Arabidopsis thaliana: one gene and its partner. The protein of the gene in region 2 interacts with the protein of the main gene of each other region in a pairwise test. Each region holds a gene or a part of one and is shown on either strand. Other genes may lie near its edges.

What was found. The genes of interacting proteins can lie anywhere in the genome.
Region 1: the proteins of AT4G18220 (region 2) and PHO1 interact in a protein complementation assay, tested with the Arabidopsis thaliana proteins (one large-scale study listed by BioGRID).

Annotation. Positions count from the first base shown.
Region 1 is NC_003074.8:8,387,423-8,395,040, forward strand, and holds the start of PHO1 (phosphate 1), read right to left. Parts: upstream 6,046-7,618; 5' UTR 5,821-6,045; coding exon 5,572-5,820; intron 4,511-5,571; coding exon 4,418-4,510; intron 4,023-4,417; coding exon 3,797-4,022; intron 3,171-3,796; coding exon 2,822-3,170; intron 2,736-2,821; coding exon 2,687-2,735; intron 2,590-2,686; coding exon 2,518-2,589; intron 2,436-2,517; coding exon 2,306-2,435; intron 2,209-2,305; coding exon 2,088-2,208; intron 1,980-2,087; coding exon 1,730-1,979; intron 1,619-1,729; coding exon 1,514-1,618; intron 1,433-1,513; coding exon 1,388-1,432; intron 1,304-1,387; coding exon 1,151-1,303; intron 1,059-1,150; coding exon 780-1,058; intron 707-779; coding exon 570-706; intron 487-569; coding exon 396-486; 3' UTR 1-395. UniProt on the Arabidopsis thaliana protein: Inositol polyphosphate sensor that associates with transcription factors to regulate inorganic phosphate (Pi) starvation responses. Probably acts by binding inositol polyphosphate via its SPX domain. Acts as a Pi exporter, mediating efflux of Pi out of cells.
Region 2 is NC_003075.7:10,076,990-10,080,906, forward strand, and holds AT4G18220 (Drug/metabolite transporter superfamily protein), read left to right. Parts: upstream 1-1,648; 5' UTR 1,649-1,738; coding exon of another isoform or gene 1,739-1,778; coding exon 1,779-1,809; coding exon of another isoform or gene 1,810-1,855; intron 1,856-1,978; coding exon 1,979-3,120; 3' UTR 3,121-3,373; downstream 3,374-3,917. Other genes in the region: PUP10 (purine permease 10), read left to right, coding at 1-506; AT4G18230 (UDP-N-acetylglucosamine transferase subunit ALG14-like protein), read right to left, coding at 3,532-3,708, 3,886-3,917.

The DNA of each region.
Region 1 (7,618 bases), on a different chromosome or scaffold from region 2:
CCTTTTCTTCTGTGAAGTTTTACATTTTCTTTCGCCTCTGTAAAATGATATATAAGTAAAAAGATACTGAAAAAATAAGTAAAATAACTTGAGGAGATAGTGACATTCTTTATTAGAAAAGAAAGAAGACTTATTGAACATAGAACGCAAATCAAAATTTACATAAACCAATATATGAAATTAAAATTGTCTTCTTCGTTTTGCACTTTGGAGCGTTTAACAGTTGTAGAATCCATTAGTCTCCCATAATTAATATGTTTAAGGATAAATGGTTAGGCAATTTCGGGAGTTTCCCAAAGGTTTTTCTCCGATATGACTACATCGATGCAAAATCCGAAATGCTTCCTCTAAATACTTGAAACTTGGTTCGATCCTTAAACCCTCCAAATCTTTGTTTAACCGTCTGAGTCCCTGTCAAGGAACGGTAACGGTACGGTCTTCACTGCCCTAAATTGGCCGACATTGTTTAAGTGCTCATTCTCCACTCTGTAAATACCGAAAGAAAGATTCATGTTCAATAACATCCAAAATCAAGTTTTAATAAACCTAGGTGAAGTTTTTTTATTTACCTGTAAAAGTTCCAGTGGCCTCGACGAATGACTTCAAGTGACGCCAAGAAGAAATCTAGCAAATGAGACTGAACAGGACTGACCCTGAATCTCATAATTGTCTCGATCCAAGCAACTCGCAACACCAAATTCAACGCCTGAACAACTCAACATTTAGTCGAAGATCATAAATTGTGAAACACGCTATAGTTAGTTATGTAATTGGCTTACAATGGAGAGGTAGTAGAAGTTCTTGTTCCGGAGAACCAAATTGTCTCTTAGCCATGGATTTTTCGATTTAGGGTTTAGAAGACCCCAATCCTTGACAAAGTCCCAGTATAATTGGTAAATAGTTGCCACAACGGAGCTTACGAGCACCATTGTTAACCACAAGTCGTTGTTTTCTCTCGCGTAGGTTATGCGGACTCCGGCTGCAACCATCGCTGACACGTATTTTCCCATGTTGATTAGGTGATCAGGGTTTGATTCGTCCCACCATCTCCTTACACACTGTAAATTAATGTTCATAGTGTCTTAGAAGAAAGGTTTTAAGGGACTTGACAAAAAAAAAAAAAAAACAGAGAAACCCTAAGTGAGCTTACTTGCATGGCACGCCAGAAGTAGGGTAAGAAAGAAATCAAGTAAGCAAATTCTCTATAGTATCTTCCGTTTTTGCAGGTATTGTATTCGTGAGTTTTGAAGCTTTGAGCCAAGAAGTAACACCCGGTTGTCTCAAGGTGTCTCAGCAATGGAATCTGAATAGAACACGATTAATGGGTTAATTATCGACTAAATTAGATGTCGTCACCATCTATTGAAGTTGCATAACTTAGTTTTACCTGGCTAGTAAGTTGATCGCCCATGAAGAAATCAACCATCAAAACCTAAATTTACCGTACAAGAAAAAAAAATCATGTTTCTGCTATTTCTTGTGCTGAAAGTAACCAAATAACTCCAATTGTTACCTTGTAGAACGGTGAGCAAACAATCTTCCGCAAGATGCGGATGAAGCAGAACCTTGTTGGACGGTAGAATGTGTTAAATGGGCATATCAAGACGCATATGAAGATCTGTAGCATGCACACCGAAAAAGAAATTAGCGGTTTCAAATTGTGATTGTGATAGCGATTGCGATTGAAACGCGCCATATGATAATTAATGAACTAAGTAATTTGATTTACCAGGAGGAGGATGCCTGGAATGGTGTCTACTTGACTAGCTGAGAAACCGGAGGCTCGGAGGATGAGGTGGATGACCATAGCTGCCACAACTGAGGTCATGAACGTGGTTCCCATCAGAAACGCGTCTCGGTAACGCAACGCTGTGTTTGGTGCAAACTCAAAAATAAAGGTGTAGTTTATCCTCGTGTTCTTCCACATGTATAGATTGCATCCATACATGAACATGTGTAGACTCAGCAACGCAAAAACGCTGCGTTTTTAAAAAAAATCATCAAAATGTAAGCGATAAATGGTTAAGTCTCATTGGATGGTGACAGTTTTGTTGAATTGATCATTAATTCGTATAATTATTCATTACCTGAAAACAGGATAAACAGTCTCCAGATAAGAGACTTGATCACTAGAAGTGAAGATTCCAGAAAGATGGGCTAGTATTATGTAAATAACAAACAATGAGATGAAGCAACCCGTAAATAACCCTGCATAGATACACAATCTCAATTTGTTAAAACTCTGATGAACTGTTTTTTTGAATGGTATATAAAGGTATAAAGATAGAGAAAATGAAATAAGTACCAACAAAGAAAGTGACCATGTGAGAATCTTTGGTCTGGTGGGGTTTCAAGAATTTCATGGCCTTTTTCCTGTCATTGTTGGCGAAGTGCTTTGTGAATATGGACTCCACTTCGTCCATAAGTCTTACCACCTTTTTTAATTTTAATCAAACAATCATTTTCAAACAATCTTTCAATAAATTATTCATAGCATAAGACCTCCTTTTATTTTACCTTATCAGAGCTGATAAATTGCGATCTCTTTACGACTTTGAGATACGTTGATGATGCATTCTGACCAGCAACCTGATGATTCATATATATATCAAAGATTCATCATTAACCACTATGATTATCTTTTTCATTGGTTTATCACCGAAAGTACAATCTATAACCAATTTACCTTATCGAATTTCTTCATTATTTTTGTGAAAGCTATCATATTCAACGAGCTGCCATAATAAAGCCAACAAAAGAATTAAAAATGATAAGATCATCACTAAATAAATAAATGATATTGAGTCATTAATGAATATACCTGTAAGTCTTTAACAAGCCAAGACCTCTATAGAGTTCAACAAAGGCACTTCGTATCTTCTTCTCGGCGCTTTGAATATTTTTCCAGTTGGTGAAATCTGATCTTGGGTTGTTAACGAGCTCTTCCCAAAGAACAGACATGGCGGTGGCGATGGATCTTGCGATACCACCTTCGGCTCCGGCCACAGCGTCGGGAATGTCGACGCGGAGAGACATTTTTGGTTTGCCTCCTTTTGTTTTGCTCCTCGTTGCAGAGTTTATGAAACTCACACCGTTCCTCTCTAAGGCCTCTATGATTTCATCTGTTCTTGATGTTTCACTTTGTATCTCACTTAGTTCTCCTGGAGACCCTGAACAATAAGAAAAAATAAATTACAAATAATTATATATTTTGTGACTATTAACACAGGTCTAAAGAGAAGAAGAAAATAAAAATTTTTGTCGACCTAGCCATCTATTGTCGGTCCATTTTTATTTTCTTACTCACAAACATTTTGTTCGTTTGTTAGTAGAATCGATTTGTGTTCTTGTCGGCCATTGAAGATATGCATGTCTACATAATAAAATCTCAAAACTCTAAAATTCTTTCTTTCACATATATGCAGCTTCGAGTTTTGCATCCACATGCAAAAGATTTGTATGCTTAACAAATCTTGTCATTCAGTAGTAGAATTTCTATTGTGTTATAACAAAACATTTGAATTTTTACTTAAATTATTTCAAAAACGCTAAATTGTGCAATGATATAAAAATATTAAATAACCTACTTTTCTTTTTACTAGCCGCACTACGTAAACGGCCTCTAGGACATGCACTTTTGTGATTTCTAATGGGTGCAGGCCGCGTCATATCTCAAATATACTAATGGTTAGCTTTTAATAAGAGTCTTAACTCTTAAGTCAAAATGCAGAATTTACTAAAGTACCCTAAATCTGACCTAACTTGTAGTAAAAGCATTAATAAGAAGAAGACTAACCTGCAGAGAAATCAGAGTTTCGAACAGAAGATGAGAAGGAGCGATGTGAATTTGAGCCAGACAAGTTTCTCTTCTTCCGATCACTTAAGATCTGTTTGAGTTCTGCAAGAGTCTCCAACTGTTTCTTCAGAATCTCTCCTCTTTCCAAAAACTCTGTTTCTTTGGGCTTGTGAAACTGATTCACTTTGTTTAGTTCTTCATCCAATCTAGCGAAAAACACTTTAACCTAAAGTAACAATAACAAAAGCATTCAAATACAGATCAAACATTTATAAACTCTTAATGGAAGAAAAAAGTAGTCTAAATTTGACCATCTTCATTAGGATTTAGGATGTGGTCGTGTTGTGCAATTTAGGCTAGCAATAAAACCACTATCTCTATGTGCTATGTTATTTAATTTTCTGCTTTTGAAGCTTAAGAAAAAGGAATTCGTAATATAGTAATAGTGATGATGATATTAATAAAGTCAAATAAATGCACCAAATAATAGGTCCTTATTTCAAGCTTATACAGTATAAGCAAAAAGAGTATTAATATAGCTAGTTATATAGAATCCCAATAATAAATAAAATTTAAGTTTCAGCTTTTATAGAAAAATAATATAGGGATGTAATTATGTACCTCGTCTTCTTCGGAAAACAACTGAACAAGTTCAGTTTGGTAAATCTCATCGACGTCATCCCCAGTTTCTGAGCTACCTCTTCTTCTCCTTACCTGTTAATTCTCAAAAAAATAAAATAACATCATATTAAATTTCGTTTTATTATTTCAACAATTTCATTAAATTCAACAAACCATGTAAACATCATATTTATTTATTTTGATATTTTTCTTATACGTGTCATTGAATTGTATGTTTTCAGGGGGTGGTGACTTGTGAGTTTGTTATGTCTTTATATAATTTTTTCCGTCACGATGGTTTCGTGAGATATCACAATCTTCACAACCGTTTCCGCATCTTGGCTTTCGTGAGACTATGAAGAAAAACAAACCTTGTTTTGGAATTAGTGATACCAAAATCTAAGATGTAGAGTAATAGAGTGTAGTAAGTAAGCATTTATTTTCCGCAAAATTATATATTTTGCAGATTTCAGGGTTAGTTAATTTATAGGATTTTTCTTAATTTTGGAAAGCGGTAGGTTACTAGGTTAAGATATGAGCTATAGGGTCTAAATCATGTGTATAATGATTGTTTTCCTGAACAGAAATACTTAGATATGTATATATTACATATTTAATACACACACAAAAATTACCAACTTACTCTACAAGAATTAACATATTAGAACTCTACCAAATCATGTCAAATATGTAAAATTTACATATCTCGTTAATAAATATTTTGAAAAGCAAATCAATATTGTAAGAAAGTAGAAAAACAAGAAAAAGGCAGATTTCTCATGTAGTACTAGACAAAGCAGAAATAACTGGTAATTCTGACGCGTAAGCAATTACAAAGACGTAAGCATACACGAAACTCAATACAAAACAATCATGGGACCAAAAAAGACGCTAATTTAAATTAAGTTAACAACAAAATCACTACATTATCACAAATAATCTAAATTCTTTATCCGACAAACTCAAAAACATACGGTCTCACCAATTGTAATCTTTTAGTCCCTAATGGTATCATGTTCAAACTCCGTAAAATGCATTTAGACATAAAGAGCTAGGTTACAAAGTTACACGGAATTTTAGACTAATCATTCAAACCGACAAAAGAATCAAGCATGTTTTTCTTAAGACAAAACTAAAAGTAGTTGATTAATTACCTGGAGAATCTCTGGTTTTTCTGAGTTGGAAAATAGTTTATCGGAGAAGGTCCTGGCCAATTTGCGAACCGGGTCGAAAAGAGATCGACCAAAATCGGAGTGATGACCAATGGGGTAATGAGAAGCCGGTTTTGGTTTACGAGAGGTTTTGATTTTCTTGATTTGTTTCTTTAGTAAACAATAGTTAACAAAGGCCTCTTTCCACTCCGGTATAAGTTGTGCCTCTAGCTCCTTCGAGAACTTCACCATCGTCGCATATAATTTCTTCCGTTTTGATTAATTGCTAATAGTGACTTGGAAGAAATTATAATGTGAGGAAGGAGAAAGACAGAGAGAGAGGCTAATGTTACAAGAGGCATTAAGAGGGAAAGAAGAAAGTTTGTATATATAGAGAGAAAGACGTGTAGAGAAGGTGAATTTAGTTTCTTCTTTTTTTTTGGTCACTAACTATTTTAATGGAAATAAATGATTTTTAACACACATGGGAAGGTGAATTTAACTTTTTGATGCGATTTGTTATAAGTAAAGTAACTCAAATGGGAAAATGGAAACTTTTGTTTTTTTAATATTAAATTTCTTGGCCATTATGCTTAGCTTAATAACACTCACTTATATTGGTAGATTTGAATATAACGCACTCGTTAGTATTGGTGTGTGAGTAGTGCAACTCGTCACGAATCCCACACACAAACACACTTCTATTGCATTCAACAAGGATAATATTAAAATTTCTCTTGCAGACATTCTTTTCCAAAAATAGTATATTTTAAATCCATTTTACAAATAGGCTTTATATATACCATGATCCGTGATGTAATATTACGTGTGACTAGTAGTCCTTACAAAAAAAAAGTTTAACGCTTTGTAATTGTTATGTTAAGCGAGACCATATATATATATTTTTGTCAAGTTCGAGACCATATTTTTAGTTTCGGTATTATTGTATACATTTAATCACTAAAATTGTACCATATATATTTTTTATTTGCTCAAAAAATCTTTTTTTATTAAAGATTAATATGAGTTTCGATTGAATATATTCTTAACAAATATGAAAGTATTCCTATTACATTCAAAACCATACAGAAGTTTCGTAATAATTAATAACACTTTTTTGCGATTTCTTTAAAATTTTTTTTAATAAATTTCAATTTATAAAAGATAAACATCTTCACTTTTCCATCAAATATATGTTGTCAATCTATTTTTTGACAATAAAAACAACAGTTATAACTAAGTGAAGTTAAATATTTCTATAATTTGTAAATAAACTATTTAAAGTTTAATAAAAAATAAATTTAATTTAATTTAAATAGAAAATATATTTAATTTCAATAACTGATTTGAAAGCAAACTGTTTTCATCTGCTTACCCTATATATGGACAGTTTGCAAAGAAAAAAAGTGATGCAAACTGATATAGATTTGTATCAATTTCAATGAACTAATGATGTCAAATAAATAAATAACAGATTATTTTAATTATATATTTTGTATCATTAATTATCAGTAACTAATTCAAATTAATATCATGTTTCTGATACAATTTAATTGATGCAACATTTTGTTTTAGTGCAAATTGATGATTGATTTTTCTATTTTCACATGTTAGCGTCATATAGTTGTTAGTTCGTTACCAAAAGCATATCTATTCAATATGATATATAGAAATGACTAATATGACAACTCTGATGCAACTAGCGGAACTTATAGACAAGAAAAATGTTGGAGTCGGAGCTAAGAAGGCTGATGGAACTAAAGTCTAGAAGAACATATTCGTAGTGCTGGTTAGAACTCAAAATGTAAAAAAGGGGAGAAAATGTTTAAAAATGATTTTGAAAACAAGCAAGTAACAAGAACAAAAAACGTTTCAACGGTACTATCTTTCTGGTGGATATCTATTTTTCCAAAATATGTCAGAAATCGGTCAAAACTTTCCAAAGAAATTTGATCTGTCGGGAATTTAGTCGGGATTGGCTATATATACTTGGACAAAGAATCATCAAGATTTGGAGAAAAAAACAAAATGGAAAATATATTAGGAGTTT
Region 2 (3,917 bases):
CCCTACAACAGCTAGCCTTTCTAAAAGTCCTAAAGAAGCAAAATTTCTCAGAAGTTATGGATATGATAATCTACGTGAGTCTAGTGGCCAGTTGTGTTAGCGTGGTGGGGCTTTTTGCTAGCAGTGAGTGGAAAACTTTGAGCAGTGAAATGGATAACTACAAACATGGGAAGGTATCCTACATTATGAACCTAGTGTGGACAGCTGTTACCTGGCAGGTATTCTCCATCGGTGGCACAGGACTGATCTTCGAGCTCTCCTCTCTATTCTCAAATGCAATAAGCGTTTTGGGACTCCCAGTGGTTCCTATCTTGGCTGTAATCATTTTCCATGACAAAATGAATGGGTTAAAGGTGATTTCTATGATCCTAGCTATTTGGGGTTTCACTTCCTATGTCTACCAACAATATCTTGATGACAAAAACTTGAAGAAAAATCATGAAATCACAACAACAGAATCCCCTGACCCACCAGAAGCAGAAGAGTCAACTTGGCAATCAAAATAAGCTGATATTTTGAAAGATGCTGTCCCGCAGTTTACAGACTCAATCAATCTAGTTAAGTAAACTTACTTTACTTATCGGCCTGGAGGCATCCTACATTGAAGAATACACAATACATTTTTGATGCAACTAATGTAAAGTCTCAGCTTGAAATTTTTTGCATCATTGTAACAGGAAGTAGATTTCATTTAAATAAGTAGTGAATGACTTTGGTTTAGTTTCAATTACGATTACCCAAATTACATTGTAATCTCAGTGAACCAACAATCTTAAGTTTAGAACAGCTGATTACAAAAGTTCATCGTTTAAACTTGGGTTCATAGCAGCTAAAGATTAAATGTAACTCAACCCTGTATGTAACAAGAACCTGTAGGCAGATTGATAAAAGTAGATATTTATTTAATAAAAAACCATGTCAATTTTGTGAGTGTGACACCTGATAAAAATTAACCCTTAGCCATAACTTAAAAAGATTTCAATGCACTATTCCACTTTCTAGTTTTACCTGAAACATTGTGAAACAAGGACACACAGAAAATCATTTCTAATGAAGAAAGAAGAAATATTAATCAGACAGGTCCAAACATCCTTGGTGAAACAGAGCTTTGTACAAAAAGTAAATGACCAGAAATAATACCATTTGGCAGTCTCCATCTTAGCAGTTAATAAAGTGACTTCCTCTGCCATCCAATATTGTGGTGCAAATGTCTTCTTTTGAAAAGAGAAGCGAGACATCATCTCCATAAATGTGTTTCTAATCCACATGCCTGATCTCATAAGAGAAAGATAGTCAGACGGAACAAGCCAAAGAAATTAAAGAAGACGAATAACTTTCAAAATAGACATCCTGACGGTCATACAATCTTACAACTTGTGTGCATGCGTGTTAAGTTTGTGTCTATGCATATGGCTGATGTGTCACACAGGTATAAAATACTGAGTGACTAATGGCTACACATCATTTCCTTCTTGATTTGACTCGACTCATCTCTAGATCAACAATAGTGACAAAAGAAATTAAATTCACAGCAAGAGAAGATATACAGTTGGCATTTACTGAATGTGGGGACAAGTACAATCAAAACATAGACGATGACCGATTCCTAATCTCTAAATATATAGCTACAGCGTGTCTCACCCATATCACAGAAGCAATCACTTGGTAGCACTAGTAACCAAGCAATTTGATAATAAGATACCTAATACTTAGAATCTATTCAGAACATTGTTAGTACCTCCTTGTCCATCTCGAAGGAGGGGGATTCCACATCTACTATGAAGGGGGATCAAGAAGTACAAGTCATTGGTGAGTAAGCATAAACCAGTTCCTCGAGAACCTACTGGTCTTTTATCTTCAAATAAAAGACGAAAAATATGGTTATGGTATCTTATTATTCAATATATCAATATTTTTCATGTGTGACAACAAATAAGTCATAATCTAATTTCTTGCGTTATTTTCCATCACTCACCAGTTCAGCAGGGAAAAGAACCAATTCCAACAGATCAAGACGAAAGAAGTTCGGTCAGTGGCAGCCAAACAAAACTATCTCACTCTAATACATACAAACGGTGGCTCCGGGTTGCTATCTATACATTCTTTGTCATTTCAGGCCAATCAGTTGCTACAATTCTGGGCAGACTATACTATGAAAATGGAGGAAACAGCAAATGGCTAGCAACGGTAGTTCAGCTTGTAGGCTTTCCTATTCTACTTCCATATCATCTCTTGTCAGTCAAAACACATACAACAACTCAGAGAGATGGCAAATTAACCTCACTTAGGAACCGTGCATTAGTTTACATAGTGCTTGGACTTCTTGTAGGAGCAGCTTGCTACCTATATTCCATTGGACTGCTTTACCTACCTGTTTCTACCCTTTCCCTGATCTGTGCATCACAGTTAGCCTTCACCGCTTTCTTCTCTTATTTACTCAACTCACAAAAACTTACTCCTATCATTTTGAATTCTCTTTTCCTCCTCACTATATCTTCCACCCTCCTTGCATTTAATAACGAGGAATCAGATTCCAAAAAAGTTACAAAAGGAGAGTATGTCAAAGGTTTCGTATGCACCGTTGGTGCATCTGCTGGGTTTGGTCTACTCTTATCCCTACAACAGCTAGCCTTTCGTAAAGTTTTAAAGAAGCAAACTTTCTCAGAAGTTATAAATATGATAATCTACATGAGTCTAGTGGCCAGTTGTGTTAGCGTGGTGGGGCTTTTTGCTAGTAGCGAGTGGAAAACTTTGAGCAGTGAAATGGAAAACTACAAACTTGGGAAGGTATCCTATGTCATGAACCTAGTGTGGACAGCTGTTACCTGGCAGGTATTCTCCATCGGTTGCACAGGACTGATCTTCGAGCTTTCCTCCCTATTCTCAAATGCAATAAGCGCTTTGGGACTCCCCGTGGTTCCTATCCTGGCTGTCATCATTTTCCATGACAAAATGAACGGCTTAAAGGTGATTTCTATGATTCTAGCTATTTGGGGTTTCGTATCCTATGTCTACCAACAATATCTTGATGAAACAAACTTGAAGAAAAGTAATGAAATACCAACAACAGAATCCCCTGACCGACCAGAAGCAGAAGGGTCAAGTGAGCAATCAAAATAAGCTGTTACTTCAAAGATTGTGGCACACACAGTTTACAGACTAAAGCGAGCTGATCAAGTAAACTTACTTTTCTTTATTGGTATGAAGGCAGCCTACAATGAAAAATAAACATAATAGATTTGTGATGCGACTCAAGTGAAGTCACAGCCTGAAAATGTGTGCATCATTGTAACATGAAGTATATTTTATTTAAATATATGTTGTGCACGATTCTGGTTTAGTTTGGAATAAGATGACCAAAATCACATTATAAGCTCACTGAAATAGCATTAAGTCATTAACAAAGTCAAAACAGCTGATTACAAAAATTCATTGTTTAAAACTCAATCCTGCATATAAAGAGAAGGTGTACACTATGTAGCTTTCTAAGTTTTTGTAATATATCTAGGTGTAAGTAGAGTTCCAATCAGCTTACATCAGGCACCCAACATAGTGAGCCCGAGGATACTTCTTATGCAGTTGTGGCCATTGAACAAAGAATTGATCAGCTATTCTCAACTTGTAAAGCAACAATCCACTTAATGAGAGCTTTTTCACTCTTGCTACACTCTCAACATAAAAGATTGATGACCATCTAATTCCCAGCACCTGTAACCCAAGATGAAACAAGCACTTATGGGAATTCTAGATGTAATGGAGAAACCATGACTAAGAATAAACAAAACACATCCTCTGTTTTTGGTCACAAGTCCATTCAAGGTCATCCAAAATGTAGAGGAAAGAACTGCAAAGAATCTTGATAAAATATTTCCGAAGTGTGTATACCTTGAATAAAAAGGCGATCACACACAGAGGAA